Linked DNA regions of Oryzias latipes. The protein of the gene in region 3 purifies or fractionates together with the protein of the main gene of each other region. This does not show direct contact. Links are inferred from orthologs where the notes say so. Each region holds a gene or a part of one and is shown on either strand. Other genes may lie near its edges.

What was found.
Region 1: the proteins of dhx38 (region 3) and ppp4r3a purify together in Homo sapiens (co-immunoprecipitation; 3 studies listed by BioGRID and IntAct, with this or other methods). This does not show direct contact. The link is inferred for Oryzias latipes from reciprocal best matches to the Homo sapiens genes DHX38 and PPP4R3A.
Region 2: the proteins of dhx38 (region 3) and ppp4c purify together in Homo sapiens (affinity purification with mass spectrometry; 5 studies listed by BioGRID and IntAct, with this or other methods). This does not show direct contact. The link is inferred for Oryzias latipes from reciprocal best matches to the Homo sapiens genes DHX38 and PPP4C.
Region 4: the proteins of dhx38 (region 3) and nudcd1 purify together in Homo sapiens (co-immunoprecipitation; 3 studies listed by BioGRID and IntAct, with this or other methods). This does not show direct contact. The link is inferred for Oryzias latipes from reciprocal best matches to the Homo sapiens genes DHX38 and NUDCD1.

Annotation. Positions count from the first base shown.
Region 1 is NC_019882.2:7,224,409-7,227,932, forward strand, and holds part of ppp4r3a (serine/threonine-protein phosphatase 4 regulatory subunit 3A), read right to left. Parts: intron 417-3,524; coding exon 226-416; intron 1-225. UniProt on the Homo sapiens protein: Regulatory subunit of serine/threonine-protein phosphatase 4. May regulate the activity of PPP4C at centrosomal microtubule organizing centers.
Region 2 is NC_019866.2:25,208,667-25,210,963, forward strand, and holds the end of ppp4c (serine/threonine-protein phosphatase 4 catalytic subunit), read right to left. Parts: intron 1,201-2,297; coding exon 1,071-1,200; 3' UTR 521-1,070; downstream 1-520. UniProt on the Homo sapiens protein: Protein phosphatase that is involved in many processes such as microtubule organization at centrosomes, maturation of spliceosomal snRNPs, apoptosis, DNA repair, tumor necrosis factor (TNF)-alpha signaling, activation of c-Jun N-terminal kinase MAPK8, regulation of histone acetylation, DNA damage checkpoint signaling, NF-kappa-B activation and cell migration.
Region 3 is NC_019861.2:20,540,817-20,544,340, reverse strand, and holds part of dhx38 (pre-mRNA-splicing factor ATP-dependent RNA helicase PRP16), read right to left. Parts: intron 3,474-3,524; coding exon 3,339-3,473; intron 2,924-3,338; coding exon 2,798-2,923; intron 2,722-2,797; coding exon 2,626-2,721; intron 1,591-2,625; coding exon 1,469-1,590; intron 1-1,468. UniProt on the Homo sapiens protein: Probable ATP-binding RNA helicase. Involved in pre-mRNA splicing as component of the spliceosome.
Region 4 is NC_019869.2:17,473,192-17,476,715, forward strand, and holds part of nudcd1 (nudC domain-containing protein 1), read left to right. Parts: intron 1-308; coding exon 309-434; intron 435-3,524.

The DNA of each region.
Region 1 (3,524 bases), on a different chromosome or scaffold from region 3:
TGAGGGAAACAAGTTGCTTTTGCATCAAACATGTCTCTAATCGTGGACATTTATAGTAATAAAATGGACATTGGTAAAAGTCCTGTTATTTTTTTTAACTCTAACAGCTTCAGGAAACAGGAGCAAAAGAAATTTTTAAAAACCAATTTGCAAAATTCTGCAAAAGTCACTGATTTTCTTAACTGCATCTTCACCCTTCTAATGCTGAAATGTTTATATACTAACATTTCTTTCTCTCCATGAACTTGCTTATTGGTTCCATGAGGTCTTCCTCGCTTTTCATCTTGTCAGAAGGTGGAACCACTGCCTCGCCGTCCTCTAGGTCATCCTCATCTGTGTTGAACCACATCTCCTCTTCATCCTCTAGTGTTCGTGCATCACGCCGAAAGCGATGGTTGCGCAGGATAGAACGCATGCTGCAGAGGACGACAACGAGGAAACCACTTTTAGTCTTCACAAAAATATCAACTTTTGCTACAATGAAATGTATAAAGAGATTAGGACGTCTATAAATCCACAAATGTTTGGTGATTTTAGTGATGTTATAGATAAGGCATGCAAGTGTTGAAATCATGATGAAGAGCTTGGAAACCTGAGATGCTTCTTTCGATAATAACAAAAATAAATCATAGACTACAGTTTAATTTTACACTTATTTACATAATTATATATGTAAAATCATATTTTTAAAAGGACTATTCTTAACCCTTGTGCTATCCTAGGCACTTTAACATTTGGAGTTGGGTCATCTAGATCGGTGTTTTTCTACCTTTCTTGAGCCACGGCACACTTTAACCTTGACAAAAATCCCACAGCACACCACCGTCCAAAAAAAAAAAAAAAAAAAGAAAGAAACTCATAGTCTGTATTGATCTACAGCCCCTCTGCAATCTCACATGCATTTTTGTGATAATTGTGGCAGAAAAAGCTGGAAGCTGCAGCTGTTTTTCTAGAAGATGTAATAAAAGTTAAGTTAGAAGATTTAAAAACTTTTTGATGTCTGTTTGCTGTGGTTTCAAGACGTTTAACAAGGACGACTCATTGTGCGCTGAGCCGCTGTCACTTTAACCCAATGCATCATGGGAGATGTAGTGAAAACAGCCGCTGAACGAAAAAAGACTCGCGTCTCTGAGCTTCATTGTTTTGTTCACTTGTTCCACGGTCTGATACCGGATTCTGTGGAAAGCTACATCGCTAAAGACGAGCTTTAGCTGGTACTTTTGTTGGAATTGAGAGACTTACGAGCAGATCAGAACAAGGAAGTGAAGACTTTAACCACTTCTGATGGGTCAGACTGATGACGTATGATTAAGCCTCCAAGAATGATTGGTGGAGACAGTTTCCGAAAACAGAGCTGAAGCTGCAGCTAAATCACGGTACCGTCATTCTTATCAAAATGTCTTTAATTTAATCAAATAAACACAAAGAAAAAAGTGTTTTATGATCTTTTATATTCCTAACTACTCAGTGTTTTATCAGGGCCTGTTTGGATGAACTAAGAGCTGATATCCTGGAGATTGTGAAATGTTTTTAGATCAGTTAATGAGGGCAATATCCCAAGGCACTGGTTGAAAAACATTGATCTAGACCAGGGGTCGGGAACCTATGGCTCGCGAGCCATATATGGCTCTTTTGATGGTCACATGTGGCTCGCAGACAAATCTTTAATTATACTTTTTTTTTTTTTCATTAGACCAGTCCTTCTCGGGCGCAATGCGATGCCAGAGGCGCGCAGTAGTAGCGGTGCTTGGAGAAAAAAATCTGTGCCAGCGCTATCAGTTACTATTATCTATTATTTCACAGAGTTTGTACCAGCCTGAAACCTGTGAATTGCCGTGCCTAAAACTGCGCGCTCCCGTCTCTGAGAAAGAGCGCGCAGATGCGAGGACGGGATGTGTGAGGGAGAAAGCAGAGGGTGGGGCTGAGGTGTTGTGGGGACAGGCAGCAGGTGAATCGCGCAGGGATTGTAAAAACCTAAAACCCGCTGCCCGTCACTCACTGCAGCGTGTAAGTGTGTGTTTGGCTCCGTATCTGCATGTGAGCAGTCTGTCTCACATCTACAGAACATTCATACCTACGATGACGTTTAAAGTCTCAACGCCTGCATGAAGCAGAAACTCACCACGTATCAACCAGACTAGACCATCAGCAAAACTACCACGAGAAATACTCATCATTTATTAGCAACAGCATAACAATGTTATTAAAAAGAATCCTCAGACTTATTGTACTTTAAAAATGTTGAAATTAAATCAAATGCACACATTCACTTGTATATTTAGTTTTAAACAAATTGTCGCGGACTGAGTTGGATGGCTGTTGGGCCGCGTTAAAAGTTCTGGAGTTCATGGAACGCATCGATCAAGCAGTGATCTGATTGGCCCTCAGTTCTGTCGCTCAGCCTGTTGTTTGGTAGTTTGGACCAATGGGGTTCAGCTGTGGGCCGATTAAGGGGAATGGGAGGGGCTGGAGCGGGAGCAGGGGAATATAAAGTTGGGAGAAGCTCTCTCGTCTCGGCGGGAGAGATTCAGGAGCTGCTGAATTAATTGTAGGGCGTTTGTTACGGTCTGCAGTAATCAGAATAAAGAACTTTAAAAGAGGTTAAGTCTCCGTGCCTCAGTGTGGGAAAAGGACACTACATAATGGTATGGCTCTTTCGAAATTACATTTCAAAATATGTGGCGTTTTTGGCTCTCTTGGCCAAAAAGGTTCCCGACCCCTGATCTAGACCCACTAGACAGTGCACTGAACCTTTTTTCTTCAATGATTTGTGATCTTCACTGGTGTCCATGGATTACATGAAATCTTTCCACCTTTATCCACTTTTGTCATGGTAGGTAGAACATGTCAATGTAAGGGTGGGGTCATCTAAGATAGCACAAGGGTTAAGTCTTTTATAGTAAACAATATCCATGTATATGAAATAAACTTTGGCACACAATAGAACACATTTTTAGAGAAAGTGTGTGTGTTCACCTGGGGCGATAGATCTACGTCACAATGTGAGGACCCACTCGTTTACGTGGATTGGGTGAATTGCGTAAACGGATCAAAATACCACTTTGGGGTTTCTTTTCGTGAGGAATGAATATTAGAATACAATTTAAAGCTTAAACAAAATACTTAGCATAATATAGCCCCTTTAAGTTCAAATCTTCCTAAAAGGGAGTTATTTACAAGAAAAACAAACAAATAACATTCTGCTAGTTTCAAAGTCACAGCAATCTAAATTATTTTAATACAATCTTCTCTTTCGGCTTTTCCCATCAGGGGTCGCCACAGCGAATCATCCTTTTCCATCTCACTATCATGAACATCTTCTACCCTAACATTAGCCAACTTCATGTCCTCTGTTAAGACATCCATATATCTCCTCTTTGGCCGTCCTCTTGCCCTCCTGCCAGGCAGCTCCATCTCCAACATCCTTCTACCAATATATCCACTATCCCTCCTCTGAACATGTCCAAACCATCTCAGTCTGGCTTCTCTGACTTTGTCGCTAACACAGGCAACATGAGCCGTCC
Region 2 (2,297 bases), on a different chromosome or scaffold from region 3:
AGTAAATGAAAAATGTAAATTTCCTCTTTGTATTGAATATTCAGTCGTTTTTAAAATGCTCAACTAAATTCAATATAAAAGCCTTTTTATCTAAAGTATGTTACCAAAAACATGTGACAATCCAAAATGCAACATTTTATTGTTTAACTAAGATTGTTTTTTGCATTGAATTTATTGATTTAGAAAATGCATGATCAAATTACACCCTGGGAACTGAATTCCACATGAACGATGGTGAAAATGGCCCAGCGGTTTAACAGAAGCGGGTCCAAAGATGCCAGAAGTTCTGGTGGGTGAAACCAGAGGTTTCAGGTAAAACGAGCCGTGCAGCGGCCCAGAGGAACCATCCGGAACCTTATTCAGAAGCAAAAACATGGCAATGACTCCATGGAAAGAACAGAACCTCCATCCCACCACGGGGTTCCAGGAGGTCGTGTGGGAACGACCCTGGAGGACGGAGCGGGTCAGCGTTCAGGCGACATGGGCGGAGCTTCAGGAGAGTAAATCAATCAGCAAAGGGTCAGCATTGGTACAAAACTTTATTCTCACAATATCAAAATCGACAGACGGGTTAAAAGGAAGGAAGAGTGGAAACGGATGTGAGAAGAGCTTCCTGCTGAGTCGTCCTTCAGGAGTTTATTCACAGCAGCGTTCTGAATGGTAGATAGCGAGTCATGTGACATATGGGGGGGGGGGGGGGTCACTGGAATCTTGCAGCAATAACTGTACAGAGACAACATAATATGCATTAAAGGAATTCATTAAAATCATAAAACTTTGCACAGCTGCGTATCTTTGAACAAAGAGAGAAGTTACGGTTTTCCAACTGAAACTAAAAGAAATGGTCTGAATAAAAAAAAGAGGAGCAGAGAGGCGGAGTCGGGCTGGAAGTTGTGTCTACAGAGCAGGACAGATGGAGGCCACATCCAGGCCGCTCCACAGGAGCCAGCAGGCCTCCGGACTGCTTTGAGTTCAGACGGACGCCGCTGTCGGGGAGCAGCAGGAGGCCGGAGGCGCCGGGGAGAACTGGAACTAGAATGGCGGCGCCTTATGGCTGCTGGCCTGGAGCTCTACAGGAAATAGTCGGCGACGGGCTTCTTGGAGGGGATGCCTCTGGTCTCCTGTGGCGCTGCTTCAAATATGATGAACTCCCGCTGTAGATGCTCATCCAGCTCCAAGATGGCCGCAACGTTTCCACACCTGAGTGCAAGGAGACACGGCGAGGTTAAACCAGCACAGACCCTCAAACCGCTAGGCGAGAAGGACGCCGTCTTCAGCACAAACAAGGTTTAAAGCGGATCTCAGAACTTTTCAGATCAGAAAACAAGATAAAAGCCCACAAAACATGTTTTATGAAAAGTATATAAATATTTCAAAATATGTATGTAAACAGACACGAATGTATAACATTAAAACATTTGCTCATTGAGGCTTTTCTATAAACACTAATGACTCTCTGAACTCAACATAAACCTATTTAGACAAAATCCTCAGGATGTCAATCTGAGCTAAAGTGCAGCAGGAGAGCTGACACAATAAAGCAGTGAGATGGTTAACAGCACACGGCGTTCCATGCTTTCTCCAACAGAGAAGCTCTAACTGAACAACCAGATCATTATGGTCTGTCTCTGCTGGAGGGCGTTTCCGTCTGGCCACTAGGTGGAGCTCTCCTTATAGCATTACACTTTATTCCAGAAGATTGGAGCAAAAAATGGAGCTTTAGACCACAAATGGTTACTTTCAAAAATGTTTCTGTAAAAGAGTTTGGAAAATTCCTGCCTGTGAGTCTATAAAGCTGCTCATTGAGTCAGTAATGTATGTTTGGGTCGTCCAAGAGTTAGCATTAGCCGTCCTATGGGAAATTCCATTATACGTTAGCATCAAGCTAGCAGACTTTGGCTTTACTGATGTTATACATTAGATCCCCGGAAAAAAATGAGCATAAAAGATCGATTTCTACTTTAATGGATCTATTATTGATCTACTAAGATTGGATCAATTCAGATCAATTAATCGATTTGATCAAAATCACCGTGCAAAAAAATGTATATACAGTTTTTTTTAAAAGTAAGAAAAGCAGGGAATGTAGGAGGAATTGACTATTATCCATTCTTCCACCATCCCCTGCTACAAGCCCCTCCCACTGGTTCCAGAGGGGCGGCGGCTTCTCCTGCCACAGTTGGGGGCAGCTGCTGCTCCTCACTGGGAGAGTGAATGGTTTCATGAGGCACACATGGAGGCGTGTGCTGCTCATTGATGCTGTTGTAGAGCTCTTCAAAATGAAGAAACGCCATCTG
Region 3 (3,524 bases):
CTGCAGGATGGGGGGGGGGGGGGGGGGGGGGGGGCAGTGAAAAGGTAGACTGATGTCTCTGTGAAGTGTTTGGACATGGAGCTGAAGCCTCTGACAGCACAATCTATCATCTTTAATTACATGACACTGACACTGCCCACACTTCTGCCTCCTGCTCACATACACACACCTGCAGCAATTACACCATCAGGCAATAACCCCCTCCTGTCACCGTGCTCCCCACCCACCCAACACCACCTATCTTTGTCTCCTTGTTCATTTCACATGTGCTGCACGTGGCTTCAGCACAAAGGCTTCATGTAGATTTCAAGGATAAACAAGGAGGTTTCCTTTCATAAAAAACAGTATTTCCCATTTTTGAAGATGGGAATCGGAAAATAGAGTTTTGTCTGAATCTCGTTAATTTTCCATGAATAAAACAGTACAGATTAGCACATACATCTAGTAAAAATGTGACATTGTTGCATTTAAATGGTGGAATCTCTGTAATAGCTCTTATTGGTTCTTACTTTTCAATTGATGGAAAGGTCAACATAGGCTAACATAGAGCTGCTAAAAGCTAAAGAAAATAATGTCGGAATTCCAAACTGCACATTGAAAATGTCAGAGGCATGTGGATGTTAATCTTTTTAATTCCTCTTAAGATGTAAAAAAAAAAAAAAAAGAATTAAGAAATATTTGGAGTAAATCCGTCTTTATTAAGTAAAACCTCCAAACAAAACAACTTAGCCTAAATAGAGTTAAAGTTCCAATGAGTCTGATTAAACCGGAAATCACTGGATGTCTATTAATTAAACCAAAGTGCACATTATGTTAATTGCCGGCAGTTTTTTGGAATCAAAGAAAAGAAAAAAGAAAAACTAAGTAAAAGTGTCATCCTAGAAGAACTGAGCGTATTATTAAAAGCCTTCAGAGAAGAGTCTGCCATAAGCCCAAGAGAGCCCCCAACTCCAATAACACACATTTAAGTTCTGTTGTTAGATCCCATAATCCTAAACTTCTAATATGATTATTTTCACACAAACCTCAAGACTGATAAATTAGCTGATTAATTAACAATAAAAAGTTGCTTTAAAATCACTCTTTAAAGTCTAATTTTTCACTACAAAACTCACAGATGGGTGTGAAATGATTTTTTTGGTCTAATTTAAAAATGAACGCTCCCCTCCTTTTGCTATTCTGCTATGGCACAATTTAAATTGCTGCAGTAATGGGGGTCAGCCAGGAGTCAATATTATTTCTTTTTGTCTCGTCTGGAAGGACCAGAGGTGAGAAAAGCTCATCATGAAAAGTGAGAAAGGTGGAGTGGAGAGAGTCGTGGAGTGGAGGAGGGGTGGAGATATGGGCTGACAGCTGGATAAGTAAATGAAACATTTCTAATGCCGTCTGTGTATGGAAAATGGGGAACCATTGTTGAATGAAGCCTGAATGATGAGCCACAGTGAATGAAGGTGCAACACCAACTTACCTGACAATGTTCATGTTGCTCTTCTTCTCCTGCTCCTCTCGACGCGTGCGGAGTTGCTCCTGTGCCATGGCCATTTCCTCCTCCATGTTGGTGATCTCATCTTTGGCACGACGGCGGTTCTCCTATGATAACAGGAAGCACAAAGGTTCAAAGATGGCACTAATGTGCTTTAGGTGACAAACTTATCTGAGTTACCAAAATAAAAGTAAGAGTTAGAAATCATAAAAGGCCTATATCAAGCAAAATCAACGTTTTAAGCTTTGAAGTGTGTTGTAGTGTTCATTCCTCACAAAAAATAACCTCAAAGTGGAATTTTGATCCATCTGAGCATTTTTCTAAAAACCTGTGTTCGGAGCAGCAACCACAAAAACGACTGGGCTCTCACATTGTGACGTAAATAAGTGAGAAACAGCCCCTTACAGGAAGCGTCTGTGCTGCCAGCACCACCCCCAGGCTAACACACACACACACACACACACTTTCTCCGCTGAGCTAACGATGATCTGTTAAACGGTTTTAATTTCTATACACAATAAGCACATCCATGTTTGCAAAAGTTTAGATGTTTGTTTCCGTGGGTAAAACACACACATGGTGCAGAGGATGACACTAGGTTGGTGTCATGAAGTGGGCGGCACCCACAAGGAGCGAAAGGCGGAGCCTCAGAGATCGAGTCGTCTTACATCTGGGTAGAAAAATTAGCTACGAGAATAACTTATTTCATAGAAAAGTTTGTTCTTTAGTGTCCCAAAGGTTAATATATTATCATATATATGGATGTAATTTACTCTGAAAGACAAGCATGAAATAGGCCCTTTAAATTATAGCTAATCCAAGTTCAACTTCTTGCTTTACTGGCAGCAACCGTTGTAAAATTGATTGAGCATCGGTTGCACAAAAACAGAGGCTGAATGGTGTGAAACACAAAACACAAACGCACAAGTTTCAAACCCTTTCCCTCACAAATATTCTCTATGGAATAATTCTTCCCATCTCTCTACTTTAGATACGGGGTACTACTCCTTCAAATAGAGAGCTCACAAAAACAGTAACTATGAACCATATAATCTCATTAATTTCTTTAAGAGGGCGCTGTCATCTCTTTAATTTGTAATGCATGAACCAGATTGCTCCAGCCTTCTTTAGTTTGAACTTACTTGTCTGCTTCTTCCTGCTTGCTTGACGCTGTAGAACATTGGTCCAAGCTCTGCTAGCCACTCTCCATCCACTGCAGTCACACACTGCATGTACTCCTAAAACCCAAATAAAAAGATTAATAACCTGTTCGTGCTTTAATTTCATAGAATATTTCCTTCCACCTTTACTTACCTTAGTGGTCATGACAAGTTCGTGGTAAATGATGTAGTCAGGAGTGTAGCCCATTCCGAACAGGGAGCTCGTAGGGTGCAGATGGCATGGCATTCCAGTCCTCACATTAACATACTCTCCAATACCCTGGGAACCAAAATACATTCATAAAAACAGGTTGAAGAAGCATTTGGTTGATGCAGTGTGTGCATTTTTTATGTGGATTAGTGCCTGCGTTTACTGTTTCACTATAAGATCACAGCAAAGCAGGATTTCAGGGTCAATTTTCTTCTGGAACTGGATTAGACAGCAGCAAAATAAATCTATACGATATCCAACATTACTATGATTGCTTGGGTTAGCTGGCTGCTCATAAGTCAAACCGAGAACCATTATTATAAAGTCATGATTTCAAATTCCCTTTCAGATTTTAGCACAGTATTAATGTGAGGCCAGAGGGGATATTTCACCACTTTGTAATTATGCTGCTATAAATCTGCAACAACCAGTCGCCACTGGGCCTAACATATTAACCGAGGAAAGCCCAGAGAGCAGAAAGTACCTTCAGCTTGGCTGCTTGGTGGAAGTACGCCGCACAGATGCACTTTCTAATAATATCCCAGTCTGAGCCGCAAGAAACTAGGTTCATCTTCTGCTGCACCATGATGTCCTTTAACTGGGAGCGCACCTCACGCACCTGCACGTTTATTAGAGGTCAGTGTAAGAAACATGATCCTTTTGTTTCACA
Region 4 (3,524 bases), on a different chromosome or scaffold from region 3:
TTTAATTAAATGTGTGCATTCTCTGCTAAAGGATAAAATCCACGTGTAAACTGACGGATGATGATCTCGTTAAGATCTAGAATGATTACCGTACAATTTTTGGCCCAATAATATTTTTGGTTTTCACTTTCCATTTATACAGTTAGAACATTTGGAGCCACATCTGCTTCCACCCTCACTCTTTTTTGGACTTATAAGGGCCCACTCGAAGGCTTTCATGAAAAATCCATCCTTTCACATGTTAATACATGCAAAATAAGTGTACCTGCGGCTTCTTTTATGTCACACTGGCTTTCCTTTGTGCCCAGAATGGAAACCCTGACAGGGACAAGCCCCCTTGTAACTCTCAGGAGCTGGAGGATTGTGACGGGTATCCAGAAGACAGCTTCACGCTCGCTCACTTCGATGAAATATCACTCAAACCTACTCAGGTGGTGAGTAACACGTCTCCCTGTTTTCTGGACACTTTTTTTATTTGTTTGCCAATCTTTTAAGGTGGTTCCCTTATTTTTTAGTCCCACTTCTTGTTTCTTTCATTCCTTTAACATGATGTGATTATCTTATGATAACATTTTTATGTTTGACCTCCTTCACACAAGCAAATGATAGATTTCATTGCTCATTTCATTGTAAGAATGTTGTTTTTCTACTCGAACAGATACCATTAATCAATGTTTACAGTAGCCTTTTAGCTGAGTATCTTCCTGTCACTTTGGTGTGATGCATATTAGGAATGGACTGTAGGAGCCGGTGCAATGGTCATGAAGAGGTAATAAAGTCACTACTGCTCTGCAAACTTTCAAGAACCGGTGAAGGATAGTTCAACTTAGCCATCTGCAGATAAATGTAATAATTTTTCATAAATAAACTAGAAATTAATGAGACCGTCTTGACAGTTTTATAGTTGGTCTGATTTAATGAGACAGTATGGCTATGAAAGTATTTATCAGACACAATGAAGCTAATTAGAGCTCATAGTATTATAGAGAATACTACCTGGAGAATATTTCTATTGAATGAAAATGACCCACTTTATGCTGATGATGTTGTGATGTCCTTCTACTCTAAAACGATGAACACACTGGGCATGTGAGTGCATTCAAAAACACACTGAATGTGATTTTGAACATGCCTTTTAGCATATGTCGCTACCCAATACCTGCGCATGTACCCATAGTTGGACAGGGCGTGGTGCGAAATGTCAGAGTGGTGCAAATCTCCAGGTTTTTGATTTTACAGCTCTGTTCTGAAAGACTTGATTTAATAAAATTCCGGCCAGGCACAAACCACGATTTCTCCTTCATGATCAATTTTCAAATGGTTGACACTTTTGTTTACTAAAAAGGATGCAACCCATACGTCAATGCCAAATCCGAATCCCAGTTTAACTGGTGTAACTTTCAGTGCACTTTCATTTGCCATGTGATTTCTACAAAGAGCCCGCAAACAGACTTGTGTGAGTTTTGCATGTGGAAGCCCGAAACAAGCATATGCTGAGATAGATTTTTCTTGGACGGTGTGACATTTTATTGTGACCACACAGAGAGCTGTAAAATCAGAGTCTCGTTTACTGAAACCAACTTGCTAAGAAAGAAGCTCTAACGCTTCCACCAAATGAAGCTTCATAGACGTTTTAAAGAAGTGAGTGACAGAAAATGTCAAAGGTAAGATTTGTTTGGATGTTTTATGCACGTTGAGGCAGCAATAACACCTTTCGCGTCAAAATTCTCTCAAGTGGTAAAAGAGAAACAAAAAAAAAGAGACAGAGCTTTATTCTGAATGCAAAATCACAGCCAAGTTCAAGGTAAACACTCTTTTCAGTCTGAAACTAGTTTTGAGGACATTTTTCTTTTAGAAAAAAATAACAATTTGACATCTAAAGAAGGAAATATTATTTTTTAAGATGGATTTTTGCTTGAGTTAAGAAATAGTTATAGAGCTCAGAATAACAAAGGTCTTCCTTAATTATCATGAATTAGAGCCTTTTCCCAGTGGAACTAATGGAATACAGCCTAAATATTTTAGTACATGCTCATATGGTTTGGCAATTTTCAAATATTTTACCTAACATGTTACACAGTTTAGTTTAATATTTCTTGAACAGAAATAGAATAGAATAGAATAGAATTGAATAGAATATAATTAAGAATGGGCGATGTACAAGTGCCAGTAACTTATTGGACAATATTTGCATAATTTGAGTTTATCTGTATCGGTCTGATATTAAAAACTTTACTGATATTCCTCTGACTGTTTTCAGAAAAACTTTATTTTTTAAATATATATTTGTTTCTAATAGCTTATGTTCACAGTCATAATCAGTTATTGACCGTTTACAGGTAAACGTCATTTTTGATAGTGATGCATGTTGTGCCCAATAGAACCCTGGCAATTCAAATTCAAATTCAACTTTATTTATATAGCGCTTTTCATGCTTCATAGCATCTCAAAATGCTTCCCAAAGAAAGAATAAAACAAATATGATAAAAAAAAATATATAATAGTTAAAATAATAAACAAAGTAAAAAAGAATGTAATAATAATACAAATAAATGCAAATAATAATAAAATAAATGAATTAATAAAAACACACAAAAAACCCAACACATACACATCCCTCCTTTAAAATAAAAACAAATAAAATTAGCTGTTAAATTTTTATAAAATCAAATAAAAACATGTGGACAAGTAAAAACTATGTAAAAGCTTTACTAAAAAGATGTGTCTTAAGTTTTTGCTTAAAAACCTCCACAGTGGCTGAAGCCCTCACGTCCTCAGGCAGGCTGTTCCACAGGCGAGGTCCACAGTGCTGAAATGAGGCCTCGCCGTGCGTTTTAGTTCTGACCTTTGGGACCACTAGCAGACCTGCACCTGTGGACCTGAGGGCTCTGGGAGGGTCATAGACTAAAAGTAAATCTGATAAAAATGAGGGTCCAGTTCCATGTAAACTTTTATAAACTAATAAAAGAACCTTAAAATCGATCTTAAAGCTGACAGGGAGCCAGTGCAAAGACTTCAAAATTGGAGTAATGTGCTCCTTCTTTCTGGTTCTGGTTAAAAGGCGTGCAGCTGAGTTTTGAACAAGCTGCAGCCGGTTTACAGTATTTCTCTTAGCACCAGAAAGAAGAGCATTACAATAGTCTATCCTAGAAGTTATAAAAGCATGGATTAATATTTCAGCACTGGCTTGTGAGAGAAAGGGTCTCACTCGGGCAATATTTCTAAGATGATAAAATGCAGTCTTTGTAACTTGGTTTGCGTGTGCTTCAAAGTTAAGATCTGCATCTAAAATCATACAGAGGTTTTTTACTTTATTGCACACATTCAGATTAAAAGTTGATAAATAGGATTGGACCCTTTCTCTCTCAGCTTCAGGACCAACAATTAAAATGTCAGTTTTGTCTTGATTGAGCTTTAAGAAGTTCTCTCCCGTCCATGTTTCAATATCTAAAACACAATTTAAAAGGTCATCAATGGGTCCCATGTCATCAGGAGACACAGCCACATATAACTGGGTGTAATCA